2 linked regions of the Struthio camelus genome follow. The protein of the gene in region 2 interacts with the protein of the main gene of each other region in a biochemical or structural test. Links are inferred from orthologs where the notes say so. Each region holds a gene or a part of one and is shown on either strand. Other genes may lie near its edges.

The links.
Region 1: the proteins of GRIP1 (region 2) and THRA form a complex in vitro, tested with the Homo sapiens proteins (2 studies listed by BioGRID). The link is inferred for Struthio camelus from reciprocal best matches to the Homo sapiens genes GRIP1 and THRA.

Annotation. Positions count from the first base shown.
Region 1 is NC_090966.1:6,798,695-6,806,691, reverse strand, and holds the start of THRA (thyroid hormone receptor alpha), read right to left. Parts: upstream 3,019-7,997; 5' UTR 2,868-3,018; coding exon 2,815-2,867; intron 1-2,814.
Region 2 is NC_090942.1:39,757,873-39,765,819, forward strand, and holds the start of GRIP1 (glutamate receptor-interacting protein 1), read right to left. Parts: upstream 3,010-7,947; 5' UTR 2,662-3,009; coding exon 2,529-2,661; intron 1-2,528. UniProt on the Homo sapiens protein: May play a role as a localized scaffold for the assembly of a multiprotein signaling complex and as mediator of the trafficking of its binding partners at specific subcellular location in neurons.

The sequences.
Region 1 (7,997 bases), on a different chromosome or scaffold from region 2:
CCCCGTGCAACCAGGCCCCTGCATCCCGTGTCCCCGTGTCCCCGTGCAACCAGGCCCCTGCATCCCGTGTCCCCGTGTCCCCGTGCAACCAGGCCCCTGCATCCCGTGTCCCTGTGCACCCCGTGTCCCCGTGCACCCCGTGTCCCCGTGCAACCAGGTCCCTGCATCCCGTGTCCCTGTGCACCCCGTGTCCCCGTGCAACCAGGCCCCTGCATCCCGTGTCCCCGTGCACCCCGCGACCCGTGTCCGGCCAGCCGCTGTGACAGGGGCACCCCTCACCCCGCGTGTGCCCATGTGGGCACGCGTGTGCCAGCCCCCGGCCCGGGGCTGGTGGCACGTGTGCAGGGGGACACGCGTGGGCCGGCCGGGCCACGGCATCCGGGGGGGATGGGCGAGGGGTGGGGGAGGGGAGGGGAAGTGAGTGGGGGAGGGGCGGTGCGGGGGAGGGGTGGTGGGGGAGGGGACGGGAAGGCGGTGGGGGAGGGGCTCATTTACAGTCAAAGACAAAATGTCCTTTTGGCTCAGCGGGGAAGTGACATCACGGGGGCTCGGCCAATGGGCGCGGGCGGGGGTCCGCGCCTCATCCGCACGCCACCAGCCCATTGGCTGCCGCGCCGGGCCCGGCCGGGCGGGGCTGGGGCATCGCCCCCCGCCCGGGGGGCCCAGGCGTCCGGGGGGCGGCGGGCGCCCAAGGTGACCCCGGCCGGGCCCCCCGGGCACGTGCGTCTCTGGGCAGCGCTCCCGAAATAGCCCCGGCGCTGGCGGGGCCCCCGGACGCCTGGGCCCTGCCCGTGGCCCTCCCCCTCCGCAGGCACGGCTGCAGGGAGCTTGGGCGCGCACACGGCATGCACACGCACGGGGCACGGGCATGCACAGCGCACGCACACGCATGGGGCACGCACACGGCATGCACACGCACGGGGCACGGGCATGCACAGCGCACGCACACGCATGGGGCACGCACACGGCATGCACACGCACGGGGCACGGGCATGCACAGCGCACGCACACGCATGGGGCACGCACACGGCATGCACACGCACGGGGCACGGGCATGCACAGCGCACGCACACGCATGGGGCACGGGCATGCACAGCGCACACACACGCATGGGGCACGCACACGGCATGCACATGCACGGGGCACAGGCATGCACAGCGCCCGCACACGCATGGGGCACGGGCATGCACAGCGCACACACACGCATGGGGCACGCACACGGCATGCACATGCACGGGGCACAGGCATGCACAGCGCACGCACACGCATGGGGCACGCACACGGCATGCACACGCACGGGGCACGGGCATGCACAGCGCACGCACACGGCATGCACACGCACGGGGCACGGGCATGCACAGCGCACGCACACGCATGGGGCACACACACGGCATGCACATGTACGGGGATGCACAGCGCATGCATACAGCACACACGTATGGGGCACACACATGCATGGCGCATCGGTATGCAGGGGGCACGCACACAGCACGCACACGCATGGGGCACAGGCATGCATGGGGCATGCACACAGCACACACGCTTGGGGCATGGGCATGCATTGGTGCTGGGCGTGCATGGGGCACGCACATGCATGGGCACTGGGTGTGCACAGGGGACAGGCATGCTTGGGGCACACACATGACATGCATATGCATGGGGCACACACACACATGGGCACTGGGCATGCACAGGGCACGCACACGCATGGGTGCTGGATGGGTGCGGGGCATGAGCGTGCACAGGGAACGCACACGCATGGGTGTTGGGCATGCACATGCATGGGCGTTGGGCACGCATGGGGCACGCACATGCATGGGTGCTGGGCACGCACAGCGCATGGGCATGGACAGGGTACGCACACAGCACGCACACACATCGTGTTGGACATGCATGGGACACACACACAACATGCACACGCATGGGCGTTGGGCATGCACGGGGCACACACGCCTGGGGCACGCACACGTGGAGCACGGCCGTGCATGGCCTTTGGGCACGCACAGGGCATACACAGAGCACGGGCACGCCTGGGGCACAGGTTTGCATTGGCTGCAGGCGTGCCCAGGCTGCAAGTGTGCGTGGGACACGCGCGGGGCAGGGGCTCGTGCGGGCTTTGGGCGTGCACGGGGCATGCGGAGGACATGGGCTACGAGCATGCAAGGCACAGGCGCGGCTTGCAGGCGTGCATGGAGCACGGGTGCGCACAGGGCACGGGTGTGCACGGGCTGCGGGTGTGCACGGGCTGCAGGCACGCACGGGGCGCAGGTGTGCACAGAGCACGGGTGTGCAGGGGCTGCAGGCGCGCATGGGGCACAGGCGCGCATGGGGCACGGGTGTGCATGGGCTGCAGGCACGCACGGGGCGCAGGTGTGCACAGAGCACGGGTGTGCACGGGCTGCAGGCGCGCATGGGGCACAGGCGCGCATGGGGCACGGGTGTGCACGGGCTGCAGGCACGCACGGGGTGCAGGTGTGCACGGGCTGCGGGCGGGCACGGGGCGTGGGTGTGCACAGAGAACGGGTGTGCACGGGCTGCAGGCGCGCATGGGGCACGGGTGTGCACGGGACACGGGTGTGCACGGGCTGCAGGCGCGCATGGGGCACGGGTGTGCATGGGCTGCAGGCGCGCATGGGGCACGGGTGTGCACGGGACACGGGTGTGCACGGGCTGCAGGCGCGCACGGGTGTGCACAGGGCACGGGGATGCACCGGGGCGGACACGCGCGGGGCACGGGGGGGCTCGCCCGGGGCTCCCGGCTGCCGCAGCAGAGGGGCAGCCGGCGGCGCGGCGGGGGGCCGGGGGGGGCCTCACCGGGTGTCCTCTGGCTCCGACAGCGGGTCCAGGGTGCTGGGCTTCTGTTCCATTCACCGCAATTCCATCAAGGAGCGCTCAGCACCGTCCGAGGGGGCTCCGCCACCGGCGCTGGGCGCGGGGGGGCCGCGGCGGGCGGCTACGACGCGCGCCCCATGGCGCCCGCCTCAGTGCTCAGCTCCGCGCAGCATCCCGCGGCCCAGCCTGCGGAGGGAGCCCGCCGGCGCCCGCTCAGGCCTGCACCGAGCTGCGCGAGGCCTCAGCGCGCCCCGTGCGCGGGTTGCGGGGTTGGGGGGGGGGGGGGGCCAGGCGCGAGCGGGCCGGGCTGAGCCCCGACGCGCTCGGCTCATGCGTGGCCCCGGCACCGGGCGGGGGAGACTTACGGCGGCGGGGGCCGGCGATCCCTCCTGGGCGAGCTCTCCTGCGGCAGAGACGTGGCGGCGGTGGGGGCCGGGGCGGGGGCAGCGCCGCCCGACCCCCCCCCCCCAAACCCCTCCGCGATGGGGGAAACTGAGGCAGGTGGCGGGGGCCCCCCGCGCCGCCCCGGCCCCCCCCCCCGCACGCGGTGCACGGCTGCGTCCCCCCCAGCACCGGGGCGGCGGCGGGGGGCCGGGCAGGCGCCGTGCCCGGCCCGCGGGCTCCTCCGGCTCCGAGCGGGGACAGGCAGAAAGTAGGTCACGTTTGTCTTGGCCGCGGCAGAAATTCCTCCGGCGGATTTAAAGCGCGGCTGCGGCCGGGCCGCGCCGGGGCACCGCTGCGCCGGCACCGGGGAGCTGCCGCGGGCCCGGACGGCGCCGGGCTCCCCTGCGCCTGCCCCCGGCCGGGGCTCGCGGCCGGCGCGACCCTCCCCATGCGTCGCACGAGGCTCTCGCACGAGGCTCTCGCACGAGGCATGCTGCATCGCCCCGCGGCACGCCACGCGCCTGCGTGCATGCCCGCCCGCCGGCGGCCCCGGACGCCTGGGTCCCCTGCCCAGCTCCCGCCCCGGGTTGGGGCTGGGGGGGGGGCACAGCGCCCCACGCACGGCACTCCAGGCCGGGCTTTGGGGCCGGCCGCGGGCGGTACCTATAGAGCCAGCGCGGCGCGGCGGCCGGGGGCTGCAGCAAATGTTTGTTCCATATGGGAACGCCGCGCGGAGACTTCCAAGTATAGGCACTGGCTGGGTGCCAGGGCTGCGCGCGGGCCCGCCGCCCCGCGGGCACCCGGCCCCCCCGGCCGGCCCCCGGGGCCCAGGAGTCCGGGGCGGCCCCGTCCCTGCTGCGGGGACCCGGCCAGCAGAGCCCTGACCCGCTCGGCACACGCGTGGCGCTGGCAGATGCCCGGGAAGGTGCGGCGCCGCGGGGTGAGGGGGGTAAAGCCTGGGCTCAGGGCGGCTGCGGCGGCGGCCGGCGAGCTCCGGGTGCCGAGGGCCGCGGGGCCGTGTGCCGCGGTGCCCGCAGGAAGCGGCGGCGGCGGGCGGGCTGCGGCGCTCGAGGAATCCCGCCGGCGCGGGGCGGCCGCGGCAGACGGACACGGGGAGGCGGCTCTCCTCCTCCTCCTCTTCCTCCTCGGTGCGCCGCGGGCCCCGTGCCACCGGCACCGTCTCCCGCTGCCTGCGGGCAGCAGAACGGGCCACGTGTAACGAGCGCCGTCAGGTCTCAGCCCCCCGCGGCGCTGCCCGGGCTGAGGCCGGCGGCAGTGCGCGCGGTGATGCCGGGCGCCCCGAGCCCCCGGGCCGGGTGCTCCCGCGCGGCCGGCGTCGCTGCCGGGACCGGCTGGCCCAGGGCGGGAGCGCGGGGACCCGGCGCAGCGCCCGCAGGACCCCGGCCCGCGCCCACCGCCCGGCCCGCGCCCCGCCGGGGTTTCTGCTGAGTCGGGCGCTTGCAGGAGCTGGAAAACAACCCGGGGGCAAAGTCCAGGGCTGGGCCGGCGGCGGGAGCCGCGGCACGCGGGGGGCACGGCCGGGCCGCGCCGGCACCCGTGCCCGGCCCCGCGGCGCCCCGGCCAGATGGGCGCCGGGGTCCCAGGCGTCCGGGCGCCCCCTCCCCCCGGCCCAGCTGCTATCTGGGTCACGGAGGTGAGGGCCTAAGCGCTTTAGCCAAGGTGCCAATTAGCGCGATTAGCGCGGGGCTGGGGGCAGGGCGCCGCGGCCGGGCCCCCGCCGCCCGCCCGGGCACCGGCACGGGCACCGCCACCGCCGCTCTGCAGCAGCGGCTCCGGCTGCGACCCGCAGCGGCGACGAAAGGGCCGCGGGAGCCCGGCGGGGACGGACGAGGGGCATCCGCGGCGGCGCCTGGCCCACCAAAATGCACCGCCTGCGCCCTGCACGGCCCGCTCCCCGCGCCTGCGTCCCCGTGCGGTGCAGCGGGTGCCCCATGCGGCCCGTGCAACACGTGTGTCCCGGCGCGGTGCAACGCACCCAGCACAGCCCGGCGCTATCCGTGCATCCTGCTGCGGTGCAATGCACCCGGCACAGCCCACCACTGTCGTACATCCCGGCGTGGTGCAACGCACCCGGCAGAGCCCGGCGCTATCCGTGCGTCCTGCTGCGGTGCAACGCACCCAGCACAGCCCGGCACTATCCGTGCGTCCTGCTGCGGTGCAACGCACCCAGCACAGCCCGACGCTATCCGTGCGTCCTGCTGCGGTGCAACGCACCCGGCACAGCCCGGCGCTATCCGTGTGTCCTGCTGCGGTGCAACGCACCCGGCACAGCCCGGCGCTATCCGTGTGTCCTGCTGCGGTGCAACGCACCCGGCACAGCCCGGCACTATCCGTGCATCCTGCTGCGGTGCAACGCACCCGGCACAGCCCGGCGCTATCCGTGTGTCCTGCTGCGGTGCAACGCACCCGGCACAGCCCGGCGCTATCCGTGTGTCCTGCTGCGGTGCAACGCACCCGGCACAGCCCGGCACTATCCGTGCATCCTGCTGCGGTGCAACGCACCCGGCACAGCCCGGCGCTATTCGTGCGTCCTGCTGCGGTGCAACGCACCCGGCACAGCCCGGCACTATCCGTGCGTCCTGCTGCGGTGCAACGCACCCGGCACAGCCCGGCGCTATCCGTGTGTCCTGCTGCGGTGCAACGCACCCAGCACAGCCCGGCGCTATTCGTGCGTCCTGCTGCGGTGCAACGCACCCGGCACAGCCCACCACTGTCGTGCATCCCGGCATGGTGCAACGCACCCGGCAGAGCCCAGCGCTATCCGTGCGTCCTGCTGCGGAGCAACGCACCCGGCACAGCCCGGCGCTATCCGTGCGTCCTGCTGCGGTGCAACGCACCCGGCACAGCCCACCACTGTCGTGCATCCCGGCATGGTGCAACGCACCCGGCACAGCCCGGCGCTATCCGTGCGTCCTGCTGCGGTGCAACGCACCCGGCACAGCCCACCACTGTCGTGCATCCCGGCATGGTGCAACGCACCCGGCAGAGCCCAGCGCTATCCGTGCGTCCTGCTGCGGAGCAACGCACCCGGCGGTGCCCGACACTGTGTGCACGTGCCGGCACAGCGCACGCACCCGGCGCTGCGCGTGCTTCCCAGCGCGATGCCCGTGCCCGGCGGTGCCCGGCCGGCACCGGGGCGCCCGTGGCAGCGGGGCCGCGCGGCTGCGCGTGACTCAAGGCCGCAGGAATCCCAGGCATGCGGCGGCAGCTGGGCAGCCGCGCGCCGGGGGATGCCATGCGCCTGACATCAGGGCCAGGGCGACCCCGGGGCACCCCGAACGCCGCGGCCGGGGGCGCCCATCCTACCGCGAACCGCGGCGGGACCGAGCCGCAGCGGCAGCTCCGGCTGGACGCCCGGCTCCGAATCCCGCCCGAGCGCAGCCCGAGCGCTTTCGCATCGGCCTCGGTTTCCCCGTGCCGCCGGGGCGCCGAGGGGAAGCGCGGCAGGCGGGCGGGCGGGCGCGGGAGCTGCCGCGCTGTGCCGCGCCGCCCCCTCGCACGCCGGCGCGGCAGGATGCGGCCGGGCCCCCCCGCCGGACGCCCGTGCCCACCGCGGGCGCCCCCGGCCCGCGCCGCCCCGCGGCACGCAGCACCAGCGCGGCGGCGCCCCCGGGCTCGGCCGCGGGGCGCCTGACGCGTGACGAGCGGCGGCGGGCTCAGCGGCGGCGGCCGGCGCGCCCGCGGGTGCCGAGCCCCCGGGGTGCCCCCGGGGGGGCCGGGCCGGGGCCGCGCGGGGCGGCGAGCGCACGCAGGGCGCCAGGCAGCTATTCTGAGCGCGCTGGGGGAGGGGGGCTTGGCAGGGCGAGCGCGGCGTTGCTAAATCGGGGAAGGAGCGGGGGCTCCGGCTCGCGGCCGGCCGGGACGCCTGGGTGCCCGCGTGGCCGCCGGGTGCCCCGGCCGGGCGCCCGCCCCGACCCCCGAACTCTGGCCGGCCGGGGCGGGCGGGCGCGTGCCCGACGGGAGCCCCCGGCTCCCTCGACGGCTGCCGACGCCGCTCGGCACGGCCGGGCCGGCACCCCGGCGTCCTGCCTGCGCCCGCCTTCGCCCTCATCGCAACACCCTCCTCCTCCTCCTCCTCCTCCTCCAGCGCCTGGAAGAGGACCCAGGCGTCCTGGCCCCGCCCCCCCCCCCCCCCCGCATTTAAGGCATTAAACAACACACCCCGCGCCCCACGGCAGCCGGGGGTCCCGCGGGGCCGGGGCTGGGCCCCCGCGGCCGCCCCGTCCCCTCCCGTCCCGTCCCGGCTGGCGCGCGCCTGCTCCAGGCTTTCCCGGCAGCCGCGGGAAAGTGCGTGGCGGAGCGGGGAGGGGGCCGCTTCCTGGTGCTGCGCCCCCCCGGAAGGGCCGGGGCCGGGCGCCCGCGGCCCCGCAGCACCCCGCGCGCAGGGGGACGCCCGCCGGGGGCGGCAGGGGGGCGCCCGCCGGCCGCCGGGGCTCGCGCCGCCCTTGGCGTGAGTCCGGCCCTGCCCCACGGCGCAGCGGGGGTGGCCGCGGCGGGGGTGCCAAGCACCCCTGGCCCTCGCCGGCGCGGGGACCACTCGGCACCGGGCTGCAGCGCCGGCGCGCCGCGCAGTCGCCCGCGCCGGCCCAGGGGGCTCCGGCCGTGCCCCCGGCAGGTGTCCGTGCAAGGATGCACGCGCGCGTGCAAGGCCCCGCGCCGCGGAGGGAGCCGTGCCGTGCCGTGCCGGCGGCTCCCCGCCCCGCGCAAAGACCCCCGGGCAGCGCCGAGGAGCGAGGCACGCCGCCGCCGCGCGGCCTCCT
Region 2 (7,947 bases):
GTCTCCGTTCTAGGCAATATTATAAAAGGGGGGAAGAGAGAATAACAAGCCCATAAAGTGATTGGCTCAGACAATCTTCAAATGCAGTAGCTAACTGGATATGTAACTCATACAAGACGACCCTTGAGGAGGGATGGACAACACTATAGGGAAAGGAAACATCCTAAAAAAAAAAAAAGCTCCTGTTCTGTTCAGCTGAGTGAACAAGTCTCTGATTTCATTAGTTCTGATATTCTGAAAATCATACCAATAAAGTGGATCCTATTCTCAAGCATGCACACTTCTAAACACATGAATGCAAAAGGAATAGCTTTTAGAAAGTCTGCGATTACTCTAAATTTGAACTGTAAGCAGCATAATGCCAGATCATCGTTAAATTAAACACGAATCGCTTCATTGTTCCAACTACATGAAACGCAGCTTAACGATAGCATTTACAGGAGCACCAGCAACATCTCTTGACATTGCGTACATCAATTTAAGTAGGTACTGCCCCTATCCAACCAAAACAGCGCCACACACAGCACAGGCAGAAAAGGCATTTGAGGAGCCATTGTATTTGATGTGGTAGCTCTATAAAAGCCTCTTCTCTTCCTGATGATTGATGAACAAATAAATCTCTAGGGCTCAATCTCCTGTGACACATTTAAGTAACTGCCAGAAGTTGCAAACTACTTGTGTCCAACTCTATAGGGCTGGACGTTATTTGGATTATTTAGTCTGGGGACTATGATCACTAATATAAGCAACATTCAAGGTCAGTTACAAAATTTGACACAGATTCTTCCACTCTAAAATACTCAGAATCTCCACAGGCTCAAATGTGAGAGAAAAAATATTCTTTTATTTTATGAGTAAAATAAAAATTAAAACAAATATTAGACATTTGGCTCCATCTTAGTCCCTCACATTAAGTCAAGAGCAATAATTTATTAATCAACATTCAAGAAATCCTTATTACATATGACAGGTTTTGGAGGGTTTTTGCTTTCTTATTTAAAAGACCTTCAAGAACAATCAGCTAGTGAAATATTCTGACAGACTGTTTTGACATATTCATTTGATTTGCGTACTAAAGCAAAAGAAGTTGCGTTCTTCCATTAACTTGAAACATTTTCACATTCTTCAGTGCTAAGTAGATTTAAATTTTTCAGTTCTTGTAATAGCATATTCCATGGTAATACATAATCTGCTAAAACAGTATCGCTCCCCAGAATAGACCTTTTCTTAAGGGATCTCAGTCTGAATAGCATTGATAAATTCTAAGATGATCAGCATTGTAAATTTTCTTAAAAACAGAAAACAGCAAGGATTTTATTGTGGAGAGTCCCCGTAAACAACCAAACTCTCTATATTAGTTTACTTCTGGAGATAAGGCAAGCATGGTGCACTTGGAGAAAACCAAAAGAAAATCTCTTGCTTCATAATTTTCCACATAATGGCAGTACTCTGTTGCTCTAAAGCACAATCACATTTATTGTCTTAGAACAAATGTAATGTTTTCATGATTTATTTCAGCAAAATGGAAGTGAAGCCCAATGATACAAAAAGAAACTGACAGCCAATGGTACATACAACAAAAAGTACATCAAACTTCAGCTGCTGAACAAAAGGCAAAGCTCCCAAATCACTGGTCACAACAGCAGAAACCTTTTAAAAAGATAATTTTTGTGCATGACTGATTCTACTGTCGCTACCTTGCACTGACAAAGCTGCATAATAAACTCAGCAACATCTGAGTGTAGCTTCCCTCACATTGTCCCTGCAGGCATTTCTGGGCATTTCCAACCCATGGGGAGAAGTCAAAGGCTGACCATGCGCTCATAAGCCTGACAGGTACAGGGAATAAATCTTAGTGTGCTGCAATTTACCATACACATTTTGCAAGGGGACTTAAGAACAGGCAGTTTATTTAGGTTTATAGCAAACTGCTGCAGTCATCTGACTGCAAACAAACAAAAACAGCTACTTAATTCTGTATAAGTGATCCTGAACGTGCAGCGACAAAGCAGCCCACTTGAGTTACCTTCTGCTGAAAAGAGCCGGTCACAGCGTGGGCTCAAGGGACCGACTCGCACTCAGCAACCAACAGCAATTGTCAACTTGAACTTATGAATGAGCGATCACTGCCTTTCTATTGCTTTAGAAATATCCACAGCGCGGCTTTACGAAGGCATTCGACAAGGGCCCATTGCACCCGTTTTCAAAACAAAGGATTTTACCAAAGGGTTTGCAACAGTAAGACTCAGTTAACTGCACCTGAAATATTAAACAGGTCTACAGACCGCGCTTACTTTGAGAGAGCGACTGTGCCACTTCAACTGTTTTTTATTCCTTGCTGGCAGTCACAGACAGATAAATCTACAATGGGAAGGTAATGTTTTAATACTTGCACCAGGCTCAGATGCCACCGTGTGAGAAATACTGTTTGGGTTTGCCGTTCTTTTTTTTTTTTTTTTTTTTTAATAATCCTAAAAGCATAATATTTCTCACAGCCAAAGGTAAATGAGGTTATGCAAAATACTTACTTCGAAAATGCTCCGAGGCATAATAATAAACATCCTCATAACCCTCATGGTAATCCTCCTCTGGCCGGTACTTTTTGCCTTTTCTTCTTCTCGATCTTCTTATCTGCTTGACAAAGCCCAAGAAGCGCTCCATCTCCTCGGCAGCGGCACCAACTCGCAGCCCCTTCGCCCTTGGCTTCACAGACAGCTGTCCGAGCACAAATTAACAGCAAACACGCAGGCAGAGCTACACCTTTTGACCAGCCACTCCGGCACCATGAAAAAAAAAAAAAACCCTTCCTTATCTCAGCTATGAATAGAAAGCATATTCTTTTTCCCTTTAAAAAGGATGGGGGGGGCTTTATCAAATCTACTAGCTGGAATATTTCAACATGAAAATAGATAAAGGAGGAAAATATTGTAGTGAGAAGTGAATCTCTACATCTCAAGCAGTTATTAAACAAAATAGAAGAAAGTTGAAGAGATCTGCCTGCCTGCCAGCAAGAGGAAACCCAGCACTGAAATCTCCCTATCCTATGTCTCCATCATTTGAAGAGGGCTGGGAGGCGGGGATTCATGTTAGTCAATGGACTGAACCACATCTCGAGGCAAAATAGGTTTCCGATTGCCAGTTAAATCCTATCCTAGCATTTAAACGGGCACAAGCTCAGGACCTCGTTTGAGTTCGTTTGTTCTAAGAACAGGAAACTCGCTAATCCATTTTTGGCATCACATGTGCTGCATGAATAAATAGCAAAGTGGTTTAACCCATACACACAGCCCACTCACCGACAAGTGTGTGCTGAATGTGTTAATTGGAGCAGCAGGGAGAAAGCTCGGCAGCTGCTAAAAAATGACACATATACCCATTGGGCATTAGTATATTCTAATCACTGTTAGATCTAAATATTAAAATACACTTCACAGACAGGTTTCTTATGGAGCTGGCGAGGCTATATGGTGATAGGCAAACAAAGGAAGCAACATCATAAGCACACCATGCAATACTCATTTAAAATCCTAGCCGAGTTTTAAGAACTTTAAAATTAAGCTAAAGCAAGAGAAACTATCCTTTGCACTGAGTGACGCTAGTAGAAAGCCTGAAAAGGTGCCCAGGACGTTTTCTTACTACTCGTCTGAATTCCACAAGCATTCCCGAAGATAAGACTGGAATTTCATGGGCATTTCTGATGAAGTTTCCCTCCCTCGCAAGAACAAAAGCAGTATCTGCTCAAATTCTATCACGCTGCCATTTACCACAGAGTTTGCTTTGTAATTGCAGTCCAGCAAACCAAGGGAGGTGTCTATGCCAGCAGGACATCTCCTGGTGGCTGGCACAAGTCCAGAATCGATCCATCACCTCCGTCAAACCATGCACCGAGCATGGTCACCTGCATCCACGCTCTCAGGAAATGCCATTTCCCGCCTATGAATACGAGAAAGTCATAGAGTCTTCCCGTAAAATTGATTTTACAGGATCATCACCTGGAAAATGAAAACCACGCACAGGTGGCATTAGTTTCTGGTGATTCACTAGTTTGCAAAGAGCAAAGCAACGCAACTTAGAAAAGGGCATAAGAAGTAAAGCAAAAGCTAGGATTGCAATTTATCACCGCTTCAATAGAAGCATGAAGATATTGATCATATTGTAGTTGGAATTTTCTAGTTTTGCAACATGTAGAAGCAGTACAGTAAGCTGGATCTGCTGTCTGAGGGTGTTACACACAATGAAAGCAGGCAGGCAAACTCTTTTGGGGACTGTTCCAGCATCCCAGCTATTTTAAAATAAGACAGTTGCAGGAACACACCCATTTTAGCTGGTGAAGCTGACAAAAATCCTGAATGTACCTAGCAAGCTCTCCACAGGAATGTACTCTAATCTTCCTCGACCTCAGCAGCCCGTTTTTCCACTGTGAAGATGCAGCCACTATCATTGCTTGACGCACACACCCTGAGGTCACTACCAGAACTATTTTTAGTGTGGTTAACTTTTATAAGGAAGTTAGCTGTGTTTTGTTACATTCCTGTTTTTATCACACAGCTTATAACTTTCAAAGGATAAGAACTTACAGGGATATTACACACACACACACACACAAAATCTTTTGATATGGACCCCTACGAATGGAGGGCTGTATATTCTCAAGGTTTCCATTCAGATGTCTTTTCTGTGCTTTGCTACCAAGCAGCAAAAACATTGTTAGCATCACGAAACACTGAAAACAGCAACTTAGCCTAGAGCAGAGACAGCAGTCTCCTCTCTGGAAATGGAAATGATATTTTGATGCCATATTTACTCCCACAGAGCGTTCTCCCTGACACTTGTGTGAGGGACTTACCTTACTTTTAGGTAAGAAAGTTGCCTGTAGGTCAGAAACATTCATCTTTAAGACAGAAGTCTTGCAGTCAATGTTTTCTAAAGTTAAATTATAAATGTCGAGTCAAAGTGATACAGCTACTTAAAAAAAAAAAGGAGAAAAGTGGAAAACTTACCCTGTTTTAAACTGCCCCGTAAATGAGAGATGAAAACTGAAATCTGGCATATGCTTAGCTTTTGCCAAGTAAATATACCTTTCTCCAGTACCGCTGCTGTTAAACATGCTGTTGTAACAGAAGCTTGTGTTTGAGATGTGGATTCCACAGTCCTAAACACAGCCTGAAGAAAGCCAGTCCCCAAACAGATTTCAGGCCTTTCCATTGCAAGGCAAGCAAACTAAATAAGGAGGCAAGGTAGCAACCAAATTCTTTCAGCTAGCACAGTAAGCACCAGTTGTAGCATACCAATTGCCTCACCATTTTCTAGAGGAAAATCAATTTTCTTTTGGGTGAGTTCTGAGTTTTTGGAAAAACACATCTTTACCTTGCACAAAAGATCTTCCCCCCTCTCGCCTAGGCTTGCAAAGTGCACCACTAGGGAAGGATTCATTGGGCACGCTTATATTGCTCATTTAGTAAAGCAAAAAAAGGGCACTAAACTGTATTATTGTCAGCGGTCAAGGTAATGGCTCCCACATATCTTGTAAAGCAGGAAAGGGCTGAGAGGGAGCACTAGCGCAACTCTTTGCATAAGCACGGGGGAGTTCATGCTCTGCTGCTCTTCCCTGTGTCCCAGCAACTACCACTGCCAGTAAAGGCCAGGCCCCATCTCTCACCCCAGAGGTGCAGGAGCGGGTGCTACCCACCGCTTCTAGCCCACAGGCTGCCAGCCTGAGCAGCTCCTCATTTATGCACCTCTTTCCTTTTCTATGAACTTAAAGTGCAGAGATAAAGAATGTCAGGATTTGGGCTGGTTGGTTGTTTTTTAAATCTAGAACAACATGAGTTCATGACAGGATTTTCCCCTCCCTAAAATATTTTGGTATTTAGGGTAATCTAAAAAGAAGAAAACATCTCAACTGTAGACAATGGTTCTATATATTATAATAGTCATGAGTATCATGTGTTTTGCCATACTATAAAGCTTTCTGAACAAAACTTATGTTGCATATGCATTACATACTACCTTTACCGCTTTGTTGAGAACACTGGAGACATTCATTAGCTAATCCTTATGCCACACCTATAAATATTTTATAATAGTCCTACTTACAAATGTATAAGCAGAGAATTCAGTGTCACAGACATGGTTTACCGTAGTTAAAAAAAAAAACCAGCTTTTCTGCTGCTCAGCATTCCCTCTTCTGTAGCTCCTTGTGGTGAACAATTCGCTCCTTGATGAAAATGAACACAGATCCTGCAACCCTCTGCTTGAAAATGAATAAAAAGTATCCCAAGAGACTGACAAAAAGCAGGAACATACTAGATGCATACAACACCTCTAGAAAGGCATCCTGATTTTATGGGGGGAGCAGAGGAAGAAACAAAGATTGACATTGAATTTTTTAACATGCAAAACATCAGATATGACAGCGCATTTCATCCCATAGTGACAAAGAGAATAGGATAATTGCACCCAAAGAGCATAAAATAAGGTGTCAGCTGATATTCTGAGGCTTTCTCTGCATTAGAATTTGGGGATCAGTTTTCTTGCGGTCAATGCCACAACAAAAGTTGCAATGTAAATATGACTAAAATTCTTTGGCTCATCCTTTCTCCAGGAATACATCTACTCCAAACAAAGCAACTGCTCTGTTGATATTTCCAAAGTGGTTTGCTTAGAAAACGCAAGGATAGCCATGCTGCCTCCAACATCATGTTAAAAAATTTTGCCAGGTGACAGCAGGTGGATAATAATATTGCTTTATCCGTTCTGATAATTAATTTGTTTAACGTAAGTTACCAGGAACCTCTATCAAACTTGACCTGACTCAGGTTAGTGACTTACTGGAAAAGACTTCATGTCAGTAATCAAATATACCAGCCCGACACTGTCCTTTTCCAATAGTTAAGCTGGGGTGTAAATGCTTCTGCAGAACCAAAATAGGCCGCTTCTACTGAAGATAGATATCAGTGTTTAGGCTTGCCTTTGTATCCATAGCAAAGATTGGTTTTACATGTAAATGTAAATGTACCTGTAAAATGCATACATCCAACTTCTTACTTGCACAGAATTAGATGTGCAGTTATCTAGGTAAAATTTCACAAGCGACATACTTGTTTTCTGCAGCACTTCTTCCAATATTTGGGGAAAATAATAGGGAAAATGTTTTGGTATCCATGGATAAGCCCTTAAGGTAGTAAATATTTATCAAGGATTTCTATCTGAGTGGGCTTGCAAACCTGGTACTTTGAAATCAGAATTCTAAGTATGAAATAGGCCTCTACGGTTTAGTACCATAAATACAGAAGGGAATTGGTACGAAGTGTTAACTGTTTTAAGCCACTATTTTCTCTTCCATTCATCATTGTGTTCTAGTGTTTAAAAGAAAACATCTTAGCTGGAGGTTCCCACCTGTATCTCCCCTTGCTTCTCTGGGGCTTTGCATGGCGGGAAGGAGCACTCTCTCCAGGACGTGACCATGCAAGGGAACGCAGAAAGGCAGCGGGAGAGACCTGTGTCAGGTTACCTCTTGGGACAAAACACAGAACTATAAATGCAAAAATAAAGATGAATATAAACAGCTTATGGAAGTTGTCTGAACACAGGAAATAGGGCTATTTTTCCCTCTTTCCTCCTCCCCAGAACCCAAAAAGATATTGCAACCTCAAGAGAGAAGAATGGACATTTTCTTTTCTAGCTCTCTTTCCACTGTGGGATGTGTTTTTGATAATCTGATGTTGTTGTTTGTGGAGACCAGCAATAACAGAGAAAGGATCTTCCAAAAACAGTTCTCCTTATTCGTTTTACTGTGTCATCTTGCCTGACCTTCCAGTTTTTCAAGAGCAGATGTTCATTTAAATGTCATAAGTCCTCACGTTAAGGCTGCAATTTTCCACTCAGAATTTGCCCTGAATACCTTAGTGTAAATCATGACCTTATCTATTTGAAAATTATCAAATG